Linked DNA regions of Schizosaccharomyces pombe. Changing the gene in region 1 together with any one later gene gives a genetic interaction. Each region holds a gene or a part of one and is shown on either strand. Other genes may lie near its edges.

Evidence for each region.
Region 2: mutations in set9 (region 1) and mdb1 impair growth when combined (synthetic growth defect), as found in Schizosaccharomyces pombe (one study listed by BioGRID).

What each region holds. Positions count from the first base shown.
Region 1 is NC_003421.2:1,148,531-1,165,119, reverse strand, and holds set9 (histone lysine H4-K20 methyltransferase Set9), read left to right. Parts: upstream 1-9,058; 5' UTR 9,059-9,513; coding exon 9,514-10,839; 3' UTR 10,840-11,206; downstream 11,207-16,589. Other genes in the region: protein Nro1, read left to right, coding at 1,070-2,251; Lsk1 complex gamma subunit lsg1, read left to right, coding at 3,128-3,784; mrpl12 (mitochondrial 54S ribosomal protein bL12m), read right to left, coding at 4,040-4,526, 4,576-4,610; ipk1 (inositol 1,3,4,5,6-pentakisphosphate (IP5) kinase), read right to left, coding at 4,994-6,903, 6,960-6,972; protein fra3, read right to left, coding at 8,564-8,914; SPOM_SPCC4B3.13 (MatE family transporter), read left to right, coding at 11,258-12,877; protein Cwf20, read left to right, coding at 13,406-14,278; anillin-related medial ring protein Mid1, read left to right, coding at 14,905-16,589. UniProt on the Schizosaccharomyces pombe protein: Histone methyltransferase that specifically trimethylates 'Lys-20' of histone H4 to form H4K20me3.
Region 2 is NC_003424.3:2,880,782-2,887,013, reverse strand, and holds mdb1 (BRCT domain protein Mdb1), read left to right. Parts: upstream 1-1,672; 5' UTR 1,673-1,793; coding exon 1,794-2,027; exon of another isoform or gene 2,028-2,081; coding exon 2,082-2,174; exon of another isoform or gene 2,175-2,230; coding exon 2,231-3,472; intron 3,473-3,524; coding exon 3,525-3,830; 3' UTR 3,831-4,221; downstream 4,222-6,232. Other genes in the region: SPOM_SPACUNK4.13C (NTPase Ylf2), read right to left, coding at 293-1,290, 1,382-1,422, 1,488-1,672; SPOM_SPACUNK4.15 (2',3'-cyclic-nucleotide 3'-phosphodiesterase), read left to right, coding at 5,283-5,909. UniProt on the Schizosaccharomyces pombe protein: Involved in DNA damage response (DDR) mediated through its interaction with phosphorylated H2A proteins hta1 and hta2 which mark the discrete foci of DNA damage.

The DNA.
Region 1 (16,589 bases):
ACTAGCATGTTGTTATGTCCGAGCCTCGGACATGACTAATTGTTCAAGATAACTTAGTAATATTAAAAAAATTAGAAATTCTGTCATCAAATGGTAAAAAAGGCTTTATTTTGTTTTATAATTGGCTAACAAACTTTCAATTTCATCTAGTACATTCATCCTAAGTACTTATTACTTCGGCACCTGAATCAAGTAATTTATTGATATGGCGACCGAAATATATATACTAGTGCTGTATTTTTAAGGTGCTGGAGCAATCTTGGTCCATTACCATAAAGCAGCCGTTTAAAAAAATTAAAATAAACAAACTCGTTGATCAGATATCGTTCAAAAACTAAGAAACGAATTCAAATTCCCTGCCAAAGAAACGGTCAAAACCACATAAAAGTTGCGATTTCGTATTATATTATTGTTTAATAAAGATTAGCGTTACATTACAAAACTGCCAAATCTTCAATGTTATCTCGTGCTGGCAATTTTGTATAGCACCTTTTTGCGCCATAAGCCCTAAGAAATATTGCCGCATTTTGAATATCATAGATCTCCTTTACAGAAACCTATCTTAATCAATTTACTAAGTTAAATTTCGGCTAGATATGTTTACTTCAATTGCTCTAGATCCGCTGAAGTCATAAAGCTTTACTTTCTTCCATCTCCTTTTTAATTTTGCTCTTTTTTTTTAACAATGAAAATCCAAAACGTGTTAATGTATCTTGCTGCATAATTAGATGTTTAAAATAAGCTTCCCCTTCACAATTTAAAATCATCAATTTTTGTAAACAAGTCAATATGTACGACTGTATTACGAGCCTCTATACTTTCCACTAATACATTTTAACATGTCAAGTTCTCCAAGCTTCTGGTAACTCGTTTTCCACAGCCACAAAACGACGGTATTGTTTTTGTTACGCCATGCTCTTATTAGGTTTAACGCACATGGCCGACAACGCAACAACAATACCACATTACGTTGTAACTTGCTAACAAGTTTCCCGCGCGATTTTTGGGTAGAAAAAATCACTCGATGTCAACGCTGCCTTAGCAAAACAGGTTAATTTAACGGTTCGTTATGATTGGAAGAAGACCTCAAGGTCTACGCGCTGCTGCTTCTTTAAAGAAGCAGCAGCAGCTTGAAAAACAAAAGCAAGAAGCCTCTTATGAGCTGTCAGGAAACTCGTCTCCTAGTAAGGAAAACGGAAGCGAAAATGTCGACAATGGAGAAATGGAGGATGAGACAATGCTTGTTTACACAGAGGAAGACAATATTTCACAACTTTGGGGTTTATACGAGATGAGTCGCGAAAAGTTGGAAAATGACGATATAGATGCTAGTGTGAGCCTTGTCTTTGGTACCATTCACGAGGCTGATAGAATATTACGGAATACCGAGGACATTTCTACATTACCCAAGGACTTTCACGCGGCCTATTCCTCCGCTCTTTTGGCTGTGTCCGAGCTTTTCGAAATTGCACAAAAGCGTCTTAAGGAAACCAATACCGAAGAATCCTACATAGATGCTGCAATCGAGAGAGCTCAACTTGGCTTGGATGCTCCTGGCAACGAATCGAGACTTTTCCTTGCTCTTGCTCGTGCTTACCTTGAGAAGGTACGTGTTCTTGTTTGGCGTCACGATAACGAGGAATCTCTTGCCAACATCCCGGTCACTCAGTTGGTAAACCCATATATTGAGAAGGCCATCCAATACCTTCGTCCTCTTGCTCAGGATTCCACTGAATATTTTGATGCTCTTACCCCCGATTCTTTACGCCCATTATACATTCTCTCTTCCTACCTCTTTCAATTCGGTGATCAATTCTCTGAAGCTTTTCTCCTTGATGTCTGTTCAATTATAACTGCATTGTGGTTAAAATCTGTTGTCGATCCCAACACTCCTGCCTATTATAAGTTAATCGCTCAAGAGGCTGTTCTAAATAATTATACTACCTTCGCGGAATATTATATGGATTTGCTCGACAACAGTGAAAGTAATGTAGATGACCTAATCAACAAGGCTTCCAGCTGGCTCAACAATTCTGTCGATACCTGGAATGTTATTTATACTCTGGATAAATCTCCTGAACGCTTGTTAAAACTTGCGGATATAAAGATGGATCTGGCTCAAATTGTTCAAGACGAGGCTAGTCAGGATAATTACTTGAAGGAAGCTTGCAATGCTATCAAGGAGGCTCAAGGATCAGGTGTTGAGTTAAGTCCTGATTATGTTGAGTTTGTAGAAGCTTATTCTGCTTAGGATCGCTTTTACTTGCAACTTGACGGGTGTATTTCCATTATATCATTATCCCGTTGTTATATTTTTCTCCTTGAACAATACATCCTGCATTTTTTTTCTCTTTTCGAGAGTATTTTTCTCCATTATATTTACTTTTTAGGCAAACCTTATAAGTTTGTCGCTGGCCATTTTAGATTTCAAAGCAGTTCTTTATTGAAAGGAAATGTTGATTTTGTATGTACGACTTAGTAGAGCGTATAAAAAAATAAAAATTGTTTACTGATTCATGGGTTTCATTTTACCATATAAGTAAGGTCGGTTTTTGTGCTTTTATTAAAGTATAGTAGTTATTCTTTCCCGCTATTTATACTCAGAGATCCTAACAGTTTGGTGAATGGTTATAACTTTATCAGGGCTATATAAAAATATCTTTGAAAATTTACTATTTCGCTGTTGAAATTACTAAAAAAGTAGTATTTAATAAAATGAGATTTTAGTTTCTTTAAAGGTACAGTAATAGTGTTTGAAATAAAGTAACATGCTACTTAAAGCAACAGATTTTGCAACATGCTAACAGTTTGAAGACCTCTTAATATTACTTATGCACTGAGTATATTTTAATTTATTTGAATCTGGAAAGGTTCAACGTCCTTTCGCAAAATAGTATCCCAACGCTTTTTTTAGTCTCAAATTTCAGAGATTGCAGCTTCAAGAATAGATGAACACTTGGCAAAGGAAGTTTATTCTATATTTGAAATTTAAGACAACACACATTATTATTATTTAAAAAATTATTCTTGATGTTTTTGGAATTCAAAGTTCACGAAGTATAAGAAAAACCATCATAACAAAAATCGTTGTTGCACTCGCAATTACCAATATACTTGCAATAATAAAATGGATCCATTTGAGGGCCGCATGACATTTCTACAGCTTTTGGGAAAATTGAATGCATCGCAATTCTCTCAAATTAAACCCGCGCAATTTGCAATTAAGCATCTAGACTTGGAAGAAGACTTATATTCATGTATATGGGAGGAACTAGAGTCAGGTTCGTTCAATACAAGAGTGAATATCATGTACTTTGTGGACACACTCTGTGAGATGTGCTTAAAAAATGGCCTTACAGGTGGATATCTTAATATGATTAGTAGAGATATCTGTAAGCTAGTCCAGAACGTAGCTCCTATAGGAGCTGCTGGAGCTGCTAACGCTCCAGAGGTTAGAAAAGTACTCCAGTCTTTGCATGAAAAGAAGGTAATCGATGATAATCAATATAAAGATGCTATGGCTACGGTAGAAGCCCATGAACAAGCGAGCAAGTCAGGTGATACCAGTACTTCAGGAGCCATTTCAAAAAACGACATTCTTAAGAGGATTGAAGAAGACAGAGAGCGACACAAAAGAATGCGTGAAAACATTTGGGCTATTTCAGAACCAGAGTTAGAAGCGGAAATTGCATGGAACACTACCCAAGGAATTACTGAAAGCGATTTGGAATCCCTAAAGGATGAATACGAAAAGTTTAATGAATGTCTTCATGCAACTTCCTGAACCGAAGAGCGAAAACATAGAGTGTAACCCAAATAGAATAAAAACATATAATTAACTAATAATTTTGGAGTATTTTATACATTACCTAATATCTGGTTTTTTTAGAGATGATGAATTTTCCCTCCGTAGCTTAGTTTTTATGGGAATCCAAGAAAGTAAATCGTGTCACAATGTCAAAGCAATAACAAAAAGGTTGCCCAAAGAATTTGAATGGCGGAAAAGCATAGAAATGAAATTTTTTATAAACAACCCAGTTTATTCGAGGACTACTTTACAAGAAAGTTTCTCTAACTTCGATTTTATAGCTTCAGCATCCTCTTTCAAAATATTTTCTTTCAAAACCTTTGGAGCACTTTCAACGAATTTCTTTGCGTCCACAAGAGATAATCCCAAAAGAGACTTCACCTCTTTGATCACCTTGGCTTTCGAACCAGCATCAAACGATTCGAGTTTCAAATTCCAGGTGGTTTTTTCCTCTTTCTTTTCCTCAGGAGCTTTCTCTTCAGAAGGAGCGGCTGAAGCTACTGCTGGAGCCACTGCTGCCATCGGAGCTATTTCAGCAATGTTTAACTTCTCCTTTAATTGCTTTACAAGTTCAGACGTCTCTAACAATGATAGAGAGCTTATTTTGTCAACCATTTCCCCAATTTGGGCATTATTGTTTTGTACAGATGCGGCAGCTCGAAATGATCGCGTGTTTACCAACGATCTTGCCCAGTTCTTACTGGAAGATAAAGCACGTCTTTTAAAGTTAGTATAAATTTGTTAATTAAAAATAATTACAATCTTACAGATTTCTTGTTTGGCGTGATGCGATGCGAAACATGCTGTATTTTAAAATTATACTTGAGGTGAAGTAAGGTGCAAGTGAGATGGGGGTTGGCAAGTTAAGTATAGTAACTACAACTTTTAGGTGATCATTCATCAAATATCTAAAATATGTTCAATGGATCTTATTAATTTTTCATTAGTAATAATTAGAAAATAAACTAACCTCGTAGTAAAAAATGCTCTAGAATTATTAAGTGTTCAACAGTTAGTTGAAGAGAACAAATAAATCTAACCCTTTATTTTTATGCTTTTATCTCCCTGTTAATTATCAGGCATATAACAAATAAAACAAAAATGCATAATGTATTGAAATATTGCAATAAATCCACAAATTGATGGTGGTATTACATATTAGAAAAAAAATTAACAATGAGATAATTACTTTATGCTGCTCCGGCATGCTTTGTCAGTAGACTTCATCCCACGACCATAGTACCAACCGCCTTCAATCAAATTCCTTTCATCACGTTCCCATTTAGACATTTTGGTATTCATGTCTTTAGGATCTAAATCTAGTAATGTTATGTGATCTTTACCAATGTATAAAGTCACATCTCGAAGGGTCATCGCTAACGCAACATCAGTACGAGAGTATTGCTCTTGTAGGTCACGAAGCTTCCGTAGTATACCAGACTGAAACAATCTCATTGCGATATCAGGACTCACAAATCCTTGAAGACAGCACAAAAACTTGGGCCAATTGTTGAAATCAAGCTGTAGAGGACAAAAACCAACGGGTCTACCACGCATACGGCTAAGGGCACACGTTCGACAAACAACCCAGTCAGGTGGAGCGGCAGGGGACTGAGTCAACCATTTTGGTTTCATTTCAATTCCATCTTTGAGATCTTTCATTACCAAACAGTATTGCTCATTTAAATTTAAATAAATACCAGAAGCATTTTGGGCCGCCAGCAAAAAATCCCTAGTAACTGGCTGCAAAAAAACCTCAATTAAAAAGCTTTCCATTCCAGCAAACAAAGGATAAATTACATTTTGATAGTATTCATAAACTTGTTCTGTAGTAAAAACCTGTCCTCGACGTCGAAGACGAATTACCTTGTCTTGAAAGTAAGGATTTTTACCAACATACTCAAACACCACATTCGCACTTCCTGAGGCAAGGTATGCCCATTCAGAAATCACCAGGGATTTACCGGTGGAGGAATGATTGGAGATAACGGATGTTGGTGAATAAGGTGCAGGGGATTTAAAAAGCGGATTCGATATAATTGGAACTTGAAAATTACTACTAGCAACCGATTCATCTTGGGACTCTACACCAGAAGAAAGGGCTTTCATGGATGGAGGACGCGACATAATTGGAGTTGAAGGAGTATGTGTGTCAACGGGAGAATTTGTAACAGAAGAGCTAGCGGTACTAGCCATAGGCGAAAGGCTTACCTGAGACGCTGAAGTATGCAAATTCTGAGCGATGAGAGAATTCATGGCATCAATTTTTCCAGCTTCCCACTCTCTATTTGATAAAACATCACCAGATTTTGGAAGTTCTACGGGAGGACGGTTGTTGTTTACGGCAATTAAGGAAATGCTTTCAGCAGCCTGGCAAACTGAGGAAAACTCAACGAGCCACGTTTGGGGAATATCGTCTTGAAAACAATCCCAAGGGCGAACAATGTTGTGCATTTTTCGAAACATTTGAAGTTGCAAGCAGTAAAAATGCTTCATAAGTTGTCCAAAAAAAACACGACTTTTTGCAATAAGAGTTGGGAAGGACAAAGTTAAATGCTTCTGAAGGTCATCCAATTCACCATTGACACGGACAAGCTGGCTTTGTAATGCTTTAATTTTACTTTTTTTGGTTTCAGGATCAGGCAATTCGTAAACAACCAATAATTCTTTTTGAATTTTTTCAAGTTCTTTTACTTTTTTATCTCTTCTTTTAATCATTTCAACTGCCTTCTTTACATAGCCTTTGACCTCCTTGCAAGGAGCAATAACTATGACATGGAAATTTTGCAGGGCAAGCAAGACTTCACGACGTTGACGTTCCAAGGCCTTGTTCCAATCGACCAATGTTCCGACAGAAGCAGCAGGTTGTTTTTCAGGAGGTAACTGTCTGTACAAAGAAATCCAAGAGGCAGTGACGGAGGGAGCTATACAAACCATGCATCTCCAAGCATCATAGAAGAGTCGAGAGTTATCGATTGTAGAACGAATCGCTTTATCTAATTTGTGGATCTGATCACTCCACTGCTCAATTTGTTGATCAGAAGCAGCAATATCTAATTGTTTAGGTTCTTTTTTAGACGTAGTCTTTGTATAATCTTTTGTAAATTAAATTAGCACACTATACAAATTCAAAGGAAGTAAGAAGACATACTTTTTAGAGGCATTTCAAATTAATAGAATAAATAGGATGCAAAAAAGAAAAGAAGAAGGGTAGAAAATGAGAATAGACCAAAATTCTGAACGAAATAGTTGTAAGAGAAGGAAAATATAACCAACTGGCTGATGAGTAAGTAAGTAAATGTGAATTGAAACAAGAAGCTCTAGGATAATTTTCTAGTCTAATAAGGCGGGAATTTTTGATGCTCAGCAAGGATTTGGCGGTTTGACAGGGAAGGTAAATCTTGGGGATATTCCCAAAGGAAATCAGAGGTTCTCGTATTATGGTATTAAATGTAAAAATAAGTTAAAGAGCAGGTGCTTTGAGCATCCACAGAGAATTCCAACTCCAATTCGAAAAAAATAACCCCTTTCGAGGCGTTGATTAATGGTGAAAATAACAAATGACTGATGTTAGGTCAGCTTTCACTTACTGATCCTATTTATGAATCTCGTAATCCGTATTTACGAAACTCAAGAAAAGAACAATTGCGACTATAGTAGTAAGAGTTGAAGTTGGAAATGCGAATTCATTAGCTAATTAATTGATTTGTGTTGCAGAGTATGTATAGTAAAAGTTACTAGTAGTTTGAAATAGCTGCACAAAATATGTGTCTGCCAGGTGGTAGTGCGTTCTGGTGATACAAGTCTTGAAATTGCGACATGATTTGATAACTTTATATACTCGCAAGATGGCCAAACTAACTAACCGGGCGATTTGAAAATGTGAAGTTTGGTACCAAATCGAGTTTTTCCGCTTATGTTTGGCAAATTCTTCAGCTAGTTCAAATCGCCGGTGCGAGAAATAATTCCGATCCGTTAGGCGATAAAAAGCGATGCGCCTATATCATAATTTTCTAAGAAAGTCATTTTAACAATTTTAAAGTTATCATGCTAAAATCGCTGACCAAAAAATCCGAGGCTGGTCGAGATTGATGACTTCGCAAACCGAAAGGTTCAGAAAAGAATTAGCCATATGGTGTTGCATTGGTTTGTTGAATAAATCATCTAAAAAGAAGCCGATATCTGTAACTTGTTTGAAAAATAGCGTTGTATTATGAGTGAGAATGAGAACGTTTCAGAGATCAGTGACTGTTGAGAAATTTTCCATCGACGGATCAACATTAAAATCAATATGTTTTATACATTAGTCGAAAGGAGTCTATCTTTTGGAAATTTAATTTCGGAAGAGAATGTTGACTCACATTAAGTGTAGTAAAGATAGCAACATTAGCAGGAATGGTAATTACGGACTCAACGACTTGCGGAAAAAGTTTTTTTTCTCCAAATACACATCAATGTTTTCCCCGGCCGTTACCTTTTGAATATTAAATTCTAGAAAACACACTTAGAAGTCTATAGCGCAAAAATCATATCGAAGGCATAATATAATAATATTCGAAAATAACAGATGTATTAACTGAGAACAAAAAAGGAAAGTTTTATGTTACATTGTATGAACGAGAAGCCAAGGTTTTTAGGAAAACGTTGAAATAAATAAAAGCCGTGAGCTTCATATCTAATTTGAAAATAAATGTCAGACAACTATGTTCTTAAACAGTAAAATCGTAGCGGCAGAGAGGTCTTTGTAAACAAATCTCATGAACTTGTAGTCGATCCGCCGGCAGATATATCGTCTTCGACTTCGGTAGACAAATTCAGTCCGTGCATATTTCTGATTTCTTCTTTGAGGATAGAATTGACTAGACGGTGCTGCGCCAAAGTGTTCTTCCCTTGGAAGGCTTTGCTTTTAATTGCAACTTGATACATGCTGCCACATCCTCCAGAAACGTCGATAACTCTCAAAGAACTAGGTGAAAGCTTCTCAGTGAGTATGTCCTTTATCCTTCGTTCTCCGGGTGTCGAATAAAATCGTTTAGTAATGATCAAGGGTTTCTGAGGATTTTTCAAAAATAATGGGCTTAAAAGCCTACCGATGGCTAACTTCATATTTAAACTTGAATATTAGAAGGAAGTAAATTAAACTGGTATCTCAATAATGATAAAACGGGATTTAGGAAGTTTTTTGTATCTGCATTCGCCTATTGGGTTGCTAGTATAGTTTAGTTAACTTCATCAGTCCCGGTCCAACCTACTGCTATTTCTACGACCCATTTGTCTAGGTGGATTTCATTCGAAGCAAAGTCGCTCTTTATTAGTATAACTTACAAAGATATAATAACTAGAAAACTGTGAAAACTTTTAAGGGGACCGTCCGAGCTTGGTGTATATTTAATTACAACGTTCAGACTTTCGTGGATTCTTTTATTTAAAACGAGAATAATTAAATTTCGCTAATTAGTCGATTTCCTAATAAGTGATTGTGTTGAATTGTTGTGTTCAAAAACATTTTTGTATTTGCCAACGCAGAAATATATTACATATTTGGATAAACTATCGAGTTCCTAACCTTTATTTTCTGAGCAAACTCATATAAACCTATAATTTATACATCAAGATTACTCATCGTTGTTCAACTGGAAAGGTACTTTTAACATTGAATGTTTCATGACATTTTGATACCTGCCTAACGCCTATGAAAATGCATAATGCGCCAGACGAATACTCATCTTGAAACGTTTTCTCTTTTTGACGATGTTTGTACTTGTTTGCTAGTTGACAAGGTGTTTTATTGGTCCCAAATTCATAAAGTACGAAAATTAGTGGATCGATCAATTGAGCGAATGGAAAGCTGTTCTATTATAAATATTATAACCAAATATATTATAGAGCAAACAGACCTTGACCAAGCGGCAAAAAATATTCTGCAATTTCGTGAACTTGATCCATTGTTGCGGAGATTGTCAAGCACTTCTTTACTAGCATTTACTCGACATCTGAAGTACTACCTCTCATTATATCTACCATCATGCAAATTTGAAATTTGTTCAACAAACCAATACTTTTCTTCCTCAAAGCCTGAAGCTTGCGTAATAGCGCGTGAATCAATTAATGCTGGAGAAGATATTACAGACCTCTGTGGAACAATTATTAAGTTATCTCCTAAAGAAGAGCGGAATATAGGAATTGGAAAAGACTTTAGCATCCTTCATTCAAGCCGCTTAGATTCGATGTGTCTATTTTTGGGCCCTGCACGATTCGTTAATCATGACTGCAATGCTAACTGTCGATTTAACACTTCTGGTAAGCGCATTTGGCTGCGCTGTGTAAGAGACATAAAACCAGGTGAAGAAATTACTACCTTTTATTCTTCTAATTACTTTGGCCTTGAAAATTGTGAATGCCTTTGTGTCTCATGTGAACGAATGGGCATCAATGGTTTTAAAAAGCTTTTCCATACTAGTGCTACTTCAACAAGTTGTTCTTCCAAGAGTAGTTCTGATGTTTCCGATCTGTCTTCTTTGCCGCAGTCAAATCGTTACGTGATTTCCGAGGAAGATCGTAGCTTCTTGAATATTTGGGATTCAGGTGGTGAACTGAGTGATGCGTCCAGTTCTGATTTGGATGAGGAGTTTTCACTATTTATACCAAGGCACAAAAAAAGGGTGTGGTCTCGAGAAAAAAGGCTTTTGTCTGAGATGGCCATAACGAACCATAGTCCGTTACTGAATGTGGATGATTATCGAAAATTTCGTGAAGATCTATGGAAAAAAAGACATGGAAAAAGAAAGGTTTACCAATGCTCAAACTGTAGCCAGACATTTATTAATGAAGACATTCAAAATTCGAGTGCATTTTGTCCGAAATGTATTAGACATTCTAAACTCTTTTCATTACCTTGGCCTTGTAGACATAAAGTTAATCGTGAATTGAAACTAGAGAAAGAAAAGGAAATTAATACAAAAAGGAACTTAGTTACCAGCTCGCATAGTATGTCTCTGCGACACAAAAAAGCTGTTGATTATCAAAGTTAGTTGACTAGACTATTTATATTAAGATTGGAAATTTTGGTTAATTTAGGTCATTGTTAGTTGGACTTTAAAGCATTTATTTAAAAAAAAAAAACTAAAATCTTGCACTATTCAGGGTATATCCGAAGGTGAACAATGTACATTTGAATCATTCCGTTCGCTAATTCAATCTATTGTTGATTTTTTCATGGGATTCACCACCTCTATTAACTAAATATTTGAATGCTTTTAAATTCAATAAATTAACGTTCAATGTATTGACTTGTTTTAATATACTACGTTTTTATAACTGAGGGAAATTTTGGTTGTGTAATATGTCACTATATAAGCTGTGCCCGGTTGGCCTCACAAACTTTACTAGCATCCACAAGTTTTTTAAACTTGACCCCCTTTTCCTTTAACTTTATCAGACATATCCATAATGGAAGGGGAAAATGATCCTTTATTAGGATCTTATAAGCCTAAACGAAGAAGATCGAGTCTTGTTTACGGTTTGTCAAGACCCCAATTTCTTGACACCGCAGCTTCGGAAGTTTCACCTATTCCACAAGAAAGACCCACTACTTCCTTAAGAAAGCCTACACCTAGGGTACAAAGACCTGCGACTGATGTATCATATGGCGCTTTAGAGGAAACAGAAGAAAACGAATCTATTGCGAGTGGCCTTTCAGTACAAGAAGACTTTAATAGCAAGGCATGGTGGAAAGAATTAACATTACTTATTAAATTCGCAACCCCTGTTGTATTAACGTCTTTACTTCAGTATGGTGAGGTGGTTACTACTGTTTTCTCTTTGGGCCACTTGGGTAAAACAGAGCTTGCGGCTGCAAGTCTGTCTAACATGACTGCCACAATTACGGCTTTTGCTATTTATCAGGGGATTGTATCTGCTTTGGATACCGTTGGAACTCAAAGTTTCGGATCTGGAAATTACGAAATGGTGGGTTTACATTTACAGAGGATTCTGGCCATATTGTTGTTGATACAATTCCCTATTTTCTTGATATGGTGGAAAATAGAGGGCATACTTTTATTCCTTAGACAGGATCCTCTTACTTGTATGTTTGCGGCAAAGTATATGCGAGTAATGATGTTGGCTAGTCCGGCATACGCATTATTTGAAGCACTAAAACGTTTCCTTCAGGTGCAAGGTATATTTCATCCTGTAACATACATTTTAGCAATTGTTGTACCTATTAATATTTTTCTTAATTACCTTTTTGTGTGGAGTCCCTGGGTTGGTTTCGGTTTTCTAGGTGCACCGGTCGCTGTAGCATTAACGCTATGGAGTGCTTGTGCTGTTCTAATTATCTATATTATGAAGGTAAACGGACGACAAGCATGGGGAGGTTTTAGTAGAGAAGCATTAAAAAATTGGGGCCCGTTATGTCGATTGGCTGTTCCTGGTGTAATTATGATTTGCAGTGAGTACTGGGCTTTTGAACTCGTTACTTTCGCATCGGGCGTGTTGGGTACCACTGAATTAGCCTCTATGTCTGTTTTGTCTACTACCTCGACCCTTTCTTATAATTTGGCTTTCGGTGTCGCTGCTGCAGCTGCCACAAGAGTAGGAAATTTAATTGGTGCTGGAAATACGAAACTCGCTAAGCTAGCTACGCACGTTTCTATCAATTTAGGTGCTGCAATTGGTGTTATCATTGCTGTAATCCTTTTTTTAACTCGCAACACATGGACTTACATTTTTACGTCTGATAAAGATGTCGTCGCATTGGTTGCAACTATCATTCCCCTTGTTGCACTCATTAATATTGCCGATAATACACAATGTGTAGCTGGAGGCCTTCTTCGGGGACAAGGAAGACAAAGGATTGGTGGGGTAGTAAATTTCATCGCATATTATTTATTGGGTTTGCCTGTTGCCATAATCCTTTGCTTCAAGCTAGATTGGGGGCTGTACGGTTTATGGATTGGAATTGGAGCTGCAATTCTAATTATTGCTGGAGTAGAAACTTGGTGCTCATTGCATGTCAATTGGGACCATTTAGTTGAACTTGCTAATCGTCAGTTTGATGAGGCTTAAAAGTTGATACGGACAAGTTAATGATTATTTAAATATGTATTGTGGTTTGTCATAAATTGATATATTTGAAGAGATATGTTCGGTTTATGATACCATGGTTACGACTACTAACAGTTGATTGATAAAAGTATTCGAGTCGGTACTTTTTCCAGTCTTCAAGATTTGGCCATGTTTTGGCCTATCCTAAAAATTAAGTTTACGAAAATTGCAGTGCTTTAAACTCTCATATTTATGAAGCTTATAAAAGTAAATTAAATTAATGGTAATTTGGAATCTTTTTGGGTGATTAATATATAAAATACCACATATGCTAGCTAGCAACGTTGGGCGGTAGCATTCAATTAAATATTATTTCTTTTTAAGACTTACTTAAAGAATTAATTTAAGTTTGAATAAATATGTAAATCATCTTGCAGATGCGAGTATATTAATTGCCATAAATAATTCTGTTCGCAGTGAGAATAGTTACCGAGTACAAATCGCTCGCTCAGAATTATTAAACGACTTAATATCAAAAGTTAATAAAATATGTCTCTGGTTTCATATCCTCGATCAGAATCCGAAAGCGATATTGAAGAAGAAACACCATTAGCTTCTAAAAGTTTCGATCCTACTTTGTTTCAGCATGCGCGCAGAAAATTGTCGGTTGACAGCACTAAAAAGTCACCTAAACGCCTGAAACGGCAAGTTGATTTACAGAAATCTTCTTTTAATGATAAAACTTTTAATGAATCTGATGTTATCTCTAATGAACGATTTAAATCTAATGATTTACTTGAACTTTTGCCTGCCCCAAAAAATCAAGCTGAATTAGCTCCAAAGTCATCTAAAAGATCGGACCTTGATTTAAATGAAAACTATTTATTACCTAATAACTCTGTAAGCGATTTAACCTCTACTGGATCCTCCGAAACTGTCAAGAAATCAACGTATTCAGAAAAGTCTGGTAACGTTTCGTTATTTAATATCGTAGGATCAGAGTCAAAGCAAGCCTCTTTAGTAGATTCCGATCAGAAACCTTACCAACCAATTTTGATAAAACCTAAAGCTAGAGCAAATCCTCCGAAATTGAGGAATCAACCCGAGAACGATTTCATTTCTATTGCTAATCACTCAGTACATTCAAATGCAGAGGACATAAACATTATCAATGAAGATTACATTGAAATTGGACGCCACCGAAAAGAGAAGGGACGAATTATAGACGTTGATATCAACAAACTTCCAAAACCGACCCAAGAAGCATTGCCAAGCGCCCCTACTATTAAAAGTGTTGCACCTGGTCGTCATCAACTGTCTTCTCTTGTTGAAATGGCTATCAGTCAAAAAGACAACTTTGAAGCTTATTTTGAGCAGCAACGATCAAACAAAAAGGCATCTTCTCAAAAGTATGGGTTTTAGCTTTAAGTAAATGTTACGCCCCGATAGTTAGTTTTAGGTTTTAACTGCTCGTGTATTTGTAAATTAAAAGCTGTTTATCAACAGATTCATTTTATGTATTTTTTTTTAGTTTCTGCGAAAATAGCAGACAACAAAATATGATTTTACTTATTTTATTTTACATACTAATGACTTTATTCATCGCTATTCATAAGCATACTGATAATACAATATTATCTTTGCAAGTATGTCCCAGCTATAATTCATATTTGCAATGCAACTAGCCTTTTTTTGTTAATTTTAAAAAGGAAACTTGGCTTTAATCTTCGATTTATGGTATATCCAGAGTTTGAATTGTTTAACCATATAATCAGTGTTCTCACTGGGACTACCACTTATCATAGCGTCTACCGATTTTGTGTGACCTATGCCTACTCCACATGACTGAGGTGAAGAAGGATTTCAATAAATTATAAGAGGTTTTCGTGCTTTTAGCATCAATTTTAATAGAATTTGAATTAATATTTGCTATAAAGAAGAAGGCTCGTCTTTTGTTGTACTTCAGGGTGCTTATATGATACTGTGTCCACATTTTAACACTCGATAAGGTATTATAGTCTGTAAAGTCTAATTAAGCTATCCTGACGATGAAAGAGCAAGAGTTCTCATATAGAGAAGCAAAAGATGTGTCTCTTGACTCTAAAGGCTTAGAAAACAGTTTTCTTTCTTCTCCAAATCGAGAAAAAACACCCCTTTTTTTTGAGGGTAACAGTAATGAAACCTCGGGATATGATCAAACAAAAAACTTTACACATGGAGATGGCGATATGTCCCTTGGAAACCTTTCGGAACTAAACGTTGCGACAGATCTTTTAGAGTCACTTGATTTAAGAAGCATGTATATGCATGGCTATGGGCACCTCGATTCATCTTTTTCTTCTCAACATAGTCCTGATAATCGTAAAAGAATGAGTAGTACATCAGTGTTTAAGAGGATTAATTCCGAGGAAGAAGGTCGCATTCCTAGTTTGACGTACTCGGCAGGAACTATGAACTCGACAAGTTCTTCTACTGCGTCTTTGAAAGGTGCTGATATTGTTGCAGATTATGAAACATTTAATCCGGATCAAAATTTAGCTGAATTATCCTTTGACCGCTCCAAATCGTCTCGCAAGAGGGCGGTAGAAGTAGCAGAATTTAGTCGAGCTAAGACAATGTCTCCGTTGGAATACACTGTTCAACATCCATATCAATCCCATAATGAACTGTCTACAAACCCAGCCCGAGCAAGAGCTGGAAGCGTTCCCAACTTGGCTCGCATACCATCTGATGTCAAGCCCGTACCTCCAGCACATCTATCTGCATCTTCTACTGTAGGTCCAAGGATTCTTCCTAGTCTTCCCAAAGATACCACAGAGGACAATCCAGCGTTGGAAAGGGTCGAAACGACGGCGTCTCTCGATATGGATTATAAACCTTTAGAACCTTTAGCTCCCATTCAGGAAGCCCCTGTTGAAGATACTTCAGAGCCTTTTTCTTCAGTCCCAGAGGCCACCTTAGACGACTCAGATATCTCTACAGAAAGTCTTCGTAAAAAGGTTTTGGCCAAGATGGAAGCAAAACGGATTTCCAGTGGATCTTCCTATGCTAGTACACTTAGGAAAGTTTATGATTTCTCTGAGCTTTCCCTTCCCACCAACGGTAAAGACTATGATGAGTTATACCTTCAATCTTCCCGTAATTCAGAACCTGAGATTTCTACTATTATCAATGATTCTTTACAACAGGAAAATATGGATGAGGATATTAGTGCCACTTCAATTCCGAAATCTCAGGCCGCCTATGGTCATGGATCTGTAACGTATCATGAAGTCCCCAGATACAATCTAACTTCTGCTTCCGTGGGATATAGTATATCTAGTCAACGTGGTCGTATAAAAAGCAGTTCTACCATTGACAATTTGAGTGCTATTTTAAGCTCTGAAGATTTACGTCACCCATCAATGCAACCCGTACCAGGAACGAAGCGTACTTATAGTAATTATTGTGAAAATGAGCCAAACAAGTCTAGCCAAAGTTTAGTCAGTTCTGAGTCCCATAACGTCGAAGGATGGAATTATTCGGAAACTGGTACAGTAGGTTTTTACGACCCTAGTGCCGAGATATCCGCCAGCATTGATGAACTTAGGCAGTCTACGCCTGTAGCCAGAGATAGCGAACTTTTAAGTCGTGCACATTCCTTTGATTTGAATCGCCTTGATCTTCCAAGTCAGGATAAGAGTACGTCTTACGAAGTCCCGAATGGTACTGAAAATCAATCACCACGTCCTGT
Region 2 (6,232 bases), on another chromosome or scaffold:
AAACAACCCAGAATTCTGACTACTGCTATTACACCCAAAAAAAGGGTAATATGTAAGAAATATGGCAATAGGTTGAATTATGTGTTTACATACACACAGTACGTAGGCATTACTGTTTAGAGGCCAATTTAACAAAATACACCGATGCACTAAATAATTTAATGTAATTAAAGCTATCCTACAAGTATAAAGTTTTGTAAACAAATAACTAATAAACACTTGAAAAGAAACATTATGAAAACGGTATTAATGAAATCTTACTATAATTAATTTAATTTAATTTAGATTATCACTAACGAGCAATTTTCCAGAAAATAATATCCCCGGGTTCGACAGTATAATCTTTCCCTTTCGTTTTGCACTTTCCTACGCTTTTACAAGCATCTACTGATTTGTACTTTTCGAAATCAGAAAACTTTATAACTTCTCCTGCAACGAACTTCTTCTTGAAATCTGAATGTATTATACCGGCCGCGTCAGGCGCCTTAGAGCCGTCGGCAATAGTCCAAGCTTGAACGATTTTTTCACTAGCTGTGAAATAATGTATCAAATTAAGTGCAGAATATCCCGCACAAATAATTTCTGATAATTGAGAATTTTTGCCCAAACTAGCGCATTCCTGCGCCGCCTCTTCAGGCGTAAGCATGAATAGCTGTTCTTCAAACAGAACTGAGAGAGGTATCACTTGATCACCAAAACTATTTTTCTCAACCCATTCTTTGATTCCTTTTAATGCTTCTTGTTCATCGGAAAGATAATCGTCTTGATCCATATTTACCAGATACACCACCGGTTTGGCAGTGAGTAAGTTTAAAGAATTTAAAATGGGAATCTGCTCGTCATTCCATTCAGCTTTAGATATTTGACGGCCTTTTCCTAATACTACTTCTAATGCTCTTCGTGCCGTATCAAGAGCTTTTGCACATGTTTTGGGCGAGCGGCCCTCCTTTTTTAAATATGATTCTAAAAACTCTGCGTCTTTTAACAATAGCTCTTCCTGTATTATTTGTAGATCTCTTACTGGATCAACTGACTTTTCAACATGAGGAACTTGAGCCTCTGGAAATGCACGTACCAATTGAAACAAAGCATCGACGGATCTAATGTTTGAAAGAAACGCATTTCCAAGACCTTCTCCCTTGCTTGAATTCCTTGTCAACCCTGCAGTATCATAAATAGTTAATTGCGCTGGGATACGCGTTTTAGGCTGATAAATTTCACAAAGCAATTCATACTGTGAATCAAGTACAGGGGCTTTTGCATGAACGGGATCGATTGTAGCGAAAGGGTCTTATAAATTTGTTTTGTTAGACAACAGAAATACAAAATATTATATCACTTATAATCAAAACTAATACTTGACTAAAATATGACAACGTACAGTTAGCAGGATTTCCCAGGTTTGTCTTTGTAAGAATTTGACTATATTTATTGTTAATACCGATCAATGAAGCAAATTTATCAGTTAAACCCTTGAACAAACGTACAATAAGGTGGATTTCCCAATGTTGGGCATTCCTACAATGCCAATTTTCAAATGATTTCCAGGTCGTCCCAATCGTTGCCGAACAATAGAAATATCCTTTTGTTTTGAATAGTATCTCCTAGTACAATTTACAGAAGGTAGACACTTTTGCGTTGACAACACTATCCTTGTAACTATACCACGCATTTCTTAACCATTCGATGAATTAATCACAGAGTTGTTGCTAAGCTTTTTCACGCAGTAACCAAAACATTAATTGTTAATTCCTCCTTGAAATTTTTATACGATCAATAGCAGGATTTGTAAAATGGAGATACAGTTTGGAAATCAGAGGTGTAGGATGGTAAATTCTGGGGGTTTTCTAGCTACTGATGGTTCCCATCTGAAGGAAATGGAAACAGATGATGTTCTTGTTGAATTCTTAAATATAGAACATCAACTTTTTATTCGAAATATTCGAGCTATAGTTAAAATAGCCGATACAACGGTGCTTCCATCTGCTAGCGACAAAAAGCTTCTTTATTATGTTTTTGACGAAACGGTATTATCTTTTTTCTATTGATTAATTGAGTAAGCTAATTATATACTTTTTTAGAGAGTAAGAATCAACGATACTCCTGTAATTTTTTCAAAATTAGAGGAGGATAATGCAAACGTGAATGAAGGATCCAAAATGGGAGTTATGACTGTATGTGCATTCCCTCATTATACTATTGTCAAAAAGACACTAACCTATTTTCCAAGGTCCCTAATACCCCGCAGAAGCCAAATTTGCAGCAACAAAAATTTGAAGCGATCAATGCGAATGAAGATCAAATTGATTATTCAAGTAACTTGGAACAAAATTACAATTCTTTAATTAGGCAAGGATCTGACCAGGTCATTCCCCTTTCGCGATTCGCTTCAGAAAAAAGTGCTTTAGAATTGGAAAAGGAACTCTTTTCTGAGAGAATTCCAGAATCGCAATCTGCCGCTGAGCCTGTTCTTAAAGTTGAAAACTCTGAGAATGATTTGGACGAAAAATTGGTATTGGACGGTCAACATGTGGAAGGCGACCATAGTTCTGACACTGAAGAGGAGGTTGTTTCTGAAGATCAAAAACAGTTGAATAAGACCGACGATGAGTCAACATTTATTGAATCACACCAAATTTATATACAAGGAGAAACAAAATCTCCTTCTTCTGTCTCGCAATCATTGAGTGGAGACCCATCCTTGAAGCCAGCAGAGGTATTTGATAGAAAGCAAAGTGCTGAAATAAACTCACCAATTGAGAAGGATGTGAATCCACAGCAAAACATATCGGACAGCTCTATAAAGAACAATAGCATTCACAGTGATGAAGTAAATCCAGAGGTTAGGCCAGATTTAACCCCCTCCAACGAAAATGAAGAAAGTAAAAGAAGTGCGCCGGAAATCGCTCTCAAAGAGAAGGAATCCACATCCCAGGATGAAAGTAACAGAGAAGCAGAAGAGGCACCAATTTCCACTAATTATTCTTTCCCCTCATCATCTTTAGAGGATCAACCTGACAAGAATGTGCAGTCCTCGGCAGTTGAAAATAAAAACAAGCACACAAATCTGGTAACGTCGAGTTTCAACCTAACTAAACCGATGAAAAGTTTTATAAGGAGAAATGGTCTAAGGGTGCAAGAAAGTGTCACAGACGAAACCGACTTTGTCATCCTTGGTTCACCTCCACTTCGGAGGACACATAAGTTTTTACTGGCGACTTCTCTAGGTATACCACTTGTCTCTTCTCAATACTTGACAGACTGTATAAAATCAGGTAAAGTTTTAGATTTTCGTAGCTACAAATATAAAGACGAGGAAGCAGAAGCCAAGTGGGGATTTCGTTTGGACGATATCCACAGAAGAACGTGTTTCAATGGGAAAAGACTATACATTACAAAGGCAATTCGAGATTCGATGGTAGGGGATTCTATACACGGACTTTACTCAATTTTGGAAACATCTGGAGCTGAGGTAAGTGAAAGATGGAGAATATCTAGTTATGATAGGCTAATGATTTAAATAGATTGTTGGTGATATTAAAAGGGCTCAAGAGAAGGACACAATTATACTTGCTCAACCTGACAACGATCAAGAAGGACGGAATATGAGTGCTACTGGTTTAAATGTGTACAAGATTGAACTAGTAGCTTTATCCATCTTGCGTGATCGAATTGATTTTGATGAATTTTTGATTGACTATGATGCTGACAGTCCCACCAAAGTAATTGGAAAAAGAAATGTCTCAAAGGCATCCCGAACCGGGCAAGGAAGAAAACGATCCTCTCGTTCATCTTGGAACAAACCAAGTGCAAAGGAGCAAAGAACATAAAATTAAAGGTAAAGAGGACATCGTTTACTTTGTCTATTATTTATTTATAGAAGTATATTTGCAAACATATATTCTTGAGTTTCTTCTATGAAGGAGGACCATTAGAAATTATACAAAAATAGAATTTTAATAATGATATTAAATAAACGAGCGTATTTAAGGGCGAAGGATAAAAAACCTACACGGTTATTTAATGAAATATGCGATCTGTTAGTTGATTGTTAAAATCTTGAACCAATAAATTCAAGATACTCAACATAAATGAATCGATTTCAATACGCTTTTTTTTCTATTTTCCAGATAATGTATGAAAAAAAATAGTTTGACCAATTCCCGAAATTTATAATTATTACATCTCAATTAAAAAAACAAATAAAGAAATAAATAAAATGATATGAAATGAAGTACAAAAGGTTAATAAAAATAAATAACAAATTTCTACACGATTAAAAGATATAAAAGGTAAAAATCTTTATGAGTAGAAAAACGCATATACTTATTTGCGGTTTTAAGAGGAAGTAAAAGGAGGTAATTCCGAAACATAAAAATAAAGGGGCCTCATTATAGTGCTTCTTTTTAGTCTTGCAATTTTATTTTATTTTTTGAAAAGGTTTAGTTGTTTGTTTATTGACTACAAAACACAGCAAATCCACTCGTCATATCAGATCAAGCATACCGCATATCTAACAAATGATTCTGCAATGCATTGCACTTCACTGTATAAAATTTATTCATAAAATGCGCAATATGTATATCAGGCACTTATAGGTTTACCCAAATATGCTGTTAAATGGAATACACAGTTTTTTGCGCCATCTTACCATTTATAAAGCGTGAATTTAGAGACCCGCACATGCTTCCGCACACGGCCAAATGAGCGCTAAACCTCGGACGAGAAAGTGACCTGTGTGCTGTTTCTATTTATCGCATCGCTACGATGACATCATAGTGTGGTGAAAGCACCAGCTGTTATAAGCAGACCAACGAACCAACTCACTGTTCAACAATATTAATCAAGTTCTATTTCTTATACAAGCAATTTGGAAAATAAATCAAGTGTTAAATACATTCTTTGCTTGAGTGTATTTTATATTTTTTAGTGTTCTGTCCTTGCAATCGAAAAAAGCGCATTGACAGGTTTCGAAGCGAACAAGGAAATATCGGTTTTACTCTTGAAACAGAAATTTAACTGTATGTGAAAATTTTTTTTGGAGTTTCATTTACTAATAAAGAAGAATAGTGTGGTATTAAAAAAAATACGCAAAATATTGACTACATATTTGTTGAAATAAATTGGCGAAGGATTTATACGTATTTTATATTTATTTTTCCTCTTTTCAACACCATTATAGCGTTGCATACAATTTTCACTGCTGACAACCTTTTAAATTTTTTTTACTCTTTATTTTTTCCAGCCCCTTGTAATTAGGAAATCTAGCTTTCTCCTTCATCATGCCCCAATTTTTCAGGACCCAGCCTTTGACCGATAGGACTACAAGTCATGGTTTTGCTGAAGTTTCTTCCGAAGACCATTGTTATTGTGTTTGGCTCGTACCTGCCATTTCCTCTGATATTGAGTTGAGATATCGAACGTTTGTCGACTGGGCTGTGTGTCACAAAGTCGACTTTGAAGAAATGCAGTTACCTACCGCTCCTCACATTACTTTAGCTCGTGGTATCAAGCTGAAACCAAATCAATCGTTTAAGAGTGTTTTGCAATATATCGCTTCCAAGCGCAAGTCTCCTTTGAACATAAAGTTCGGCAAAGTCGCTATTGGGGATTCCTTCTACAAACGTGTATATATTCAGGTAGAGAAAACTCCCGGCTTGGAAGAATTGCAAAATGCTGCTTATGACTTGGCCGATACTTCTGATCCTTTTAATGTCATCGAACATCCCTATATGCCTGTCATTTATGCAAAGAGTATTTGCTCTGACTACTCTACTTCCGACCCCATTGAGACGATTTCTTCAATCGGTCAAGCCAGTTGGGGAAAGGCCTGTTTTCTTGAACTCATTCAATTAAACAAGGCCAACCATCAAGGATACGTCTGTGATCGTATTGAATTTACCGTCTAATCATTTGCTTTCCAATCTTTTTTTTTTTTTTCTTATTGATACTTTGCAAATATACCTAAACAAAAAGAGATATAGCAGGATGATACCTAGTTATTTCGCTTTAGTATTTTAATGAAGATTTAAAAAGCCTTTTTGTAACTTTATTTATTTTTATCCCTTAATGGTTTTATTAAGGTGAAAACAATCTCGCTTAAATGGATTATTCAAACCCTTAATTTTTTTTGCTTCATGTATTAACAATTTCTACCTTTATAGTATCTTTTTCACTAACTTAAATGCATCTGGTGATCACCTTTCCTGCTTTACTTTTAAACTTTGACTAA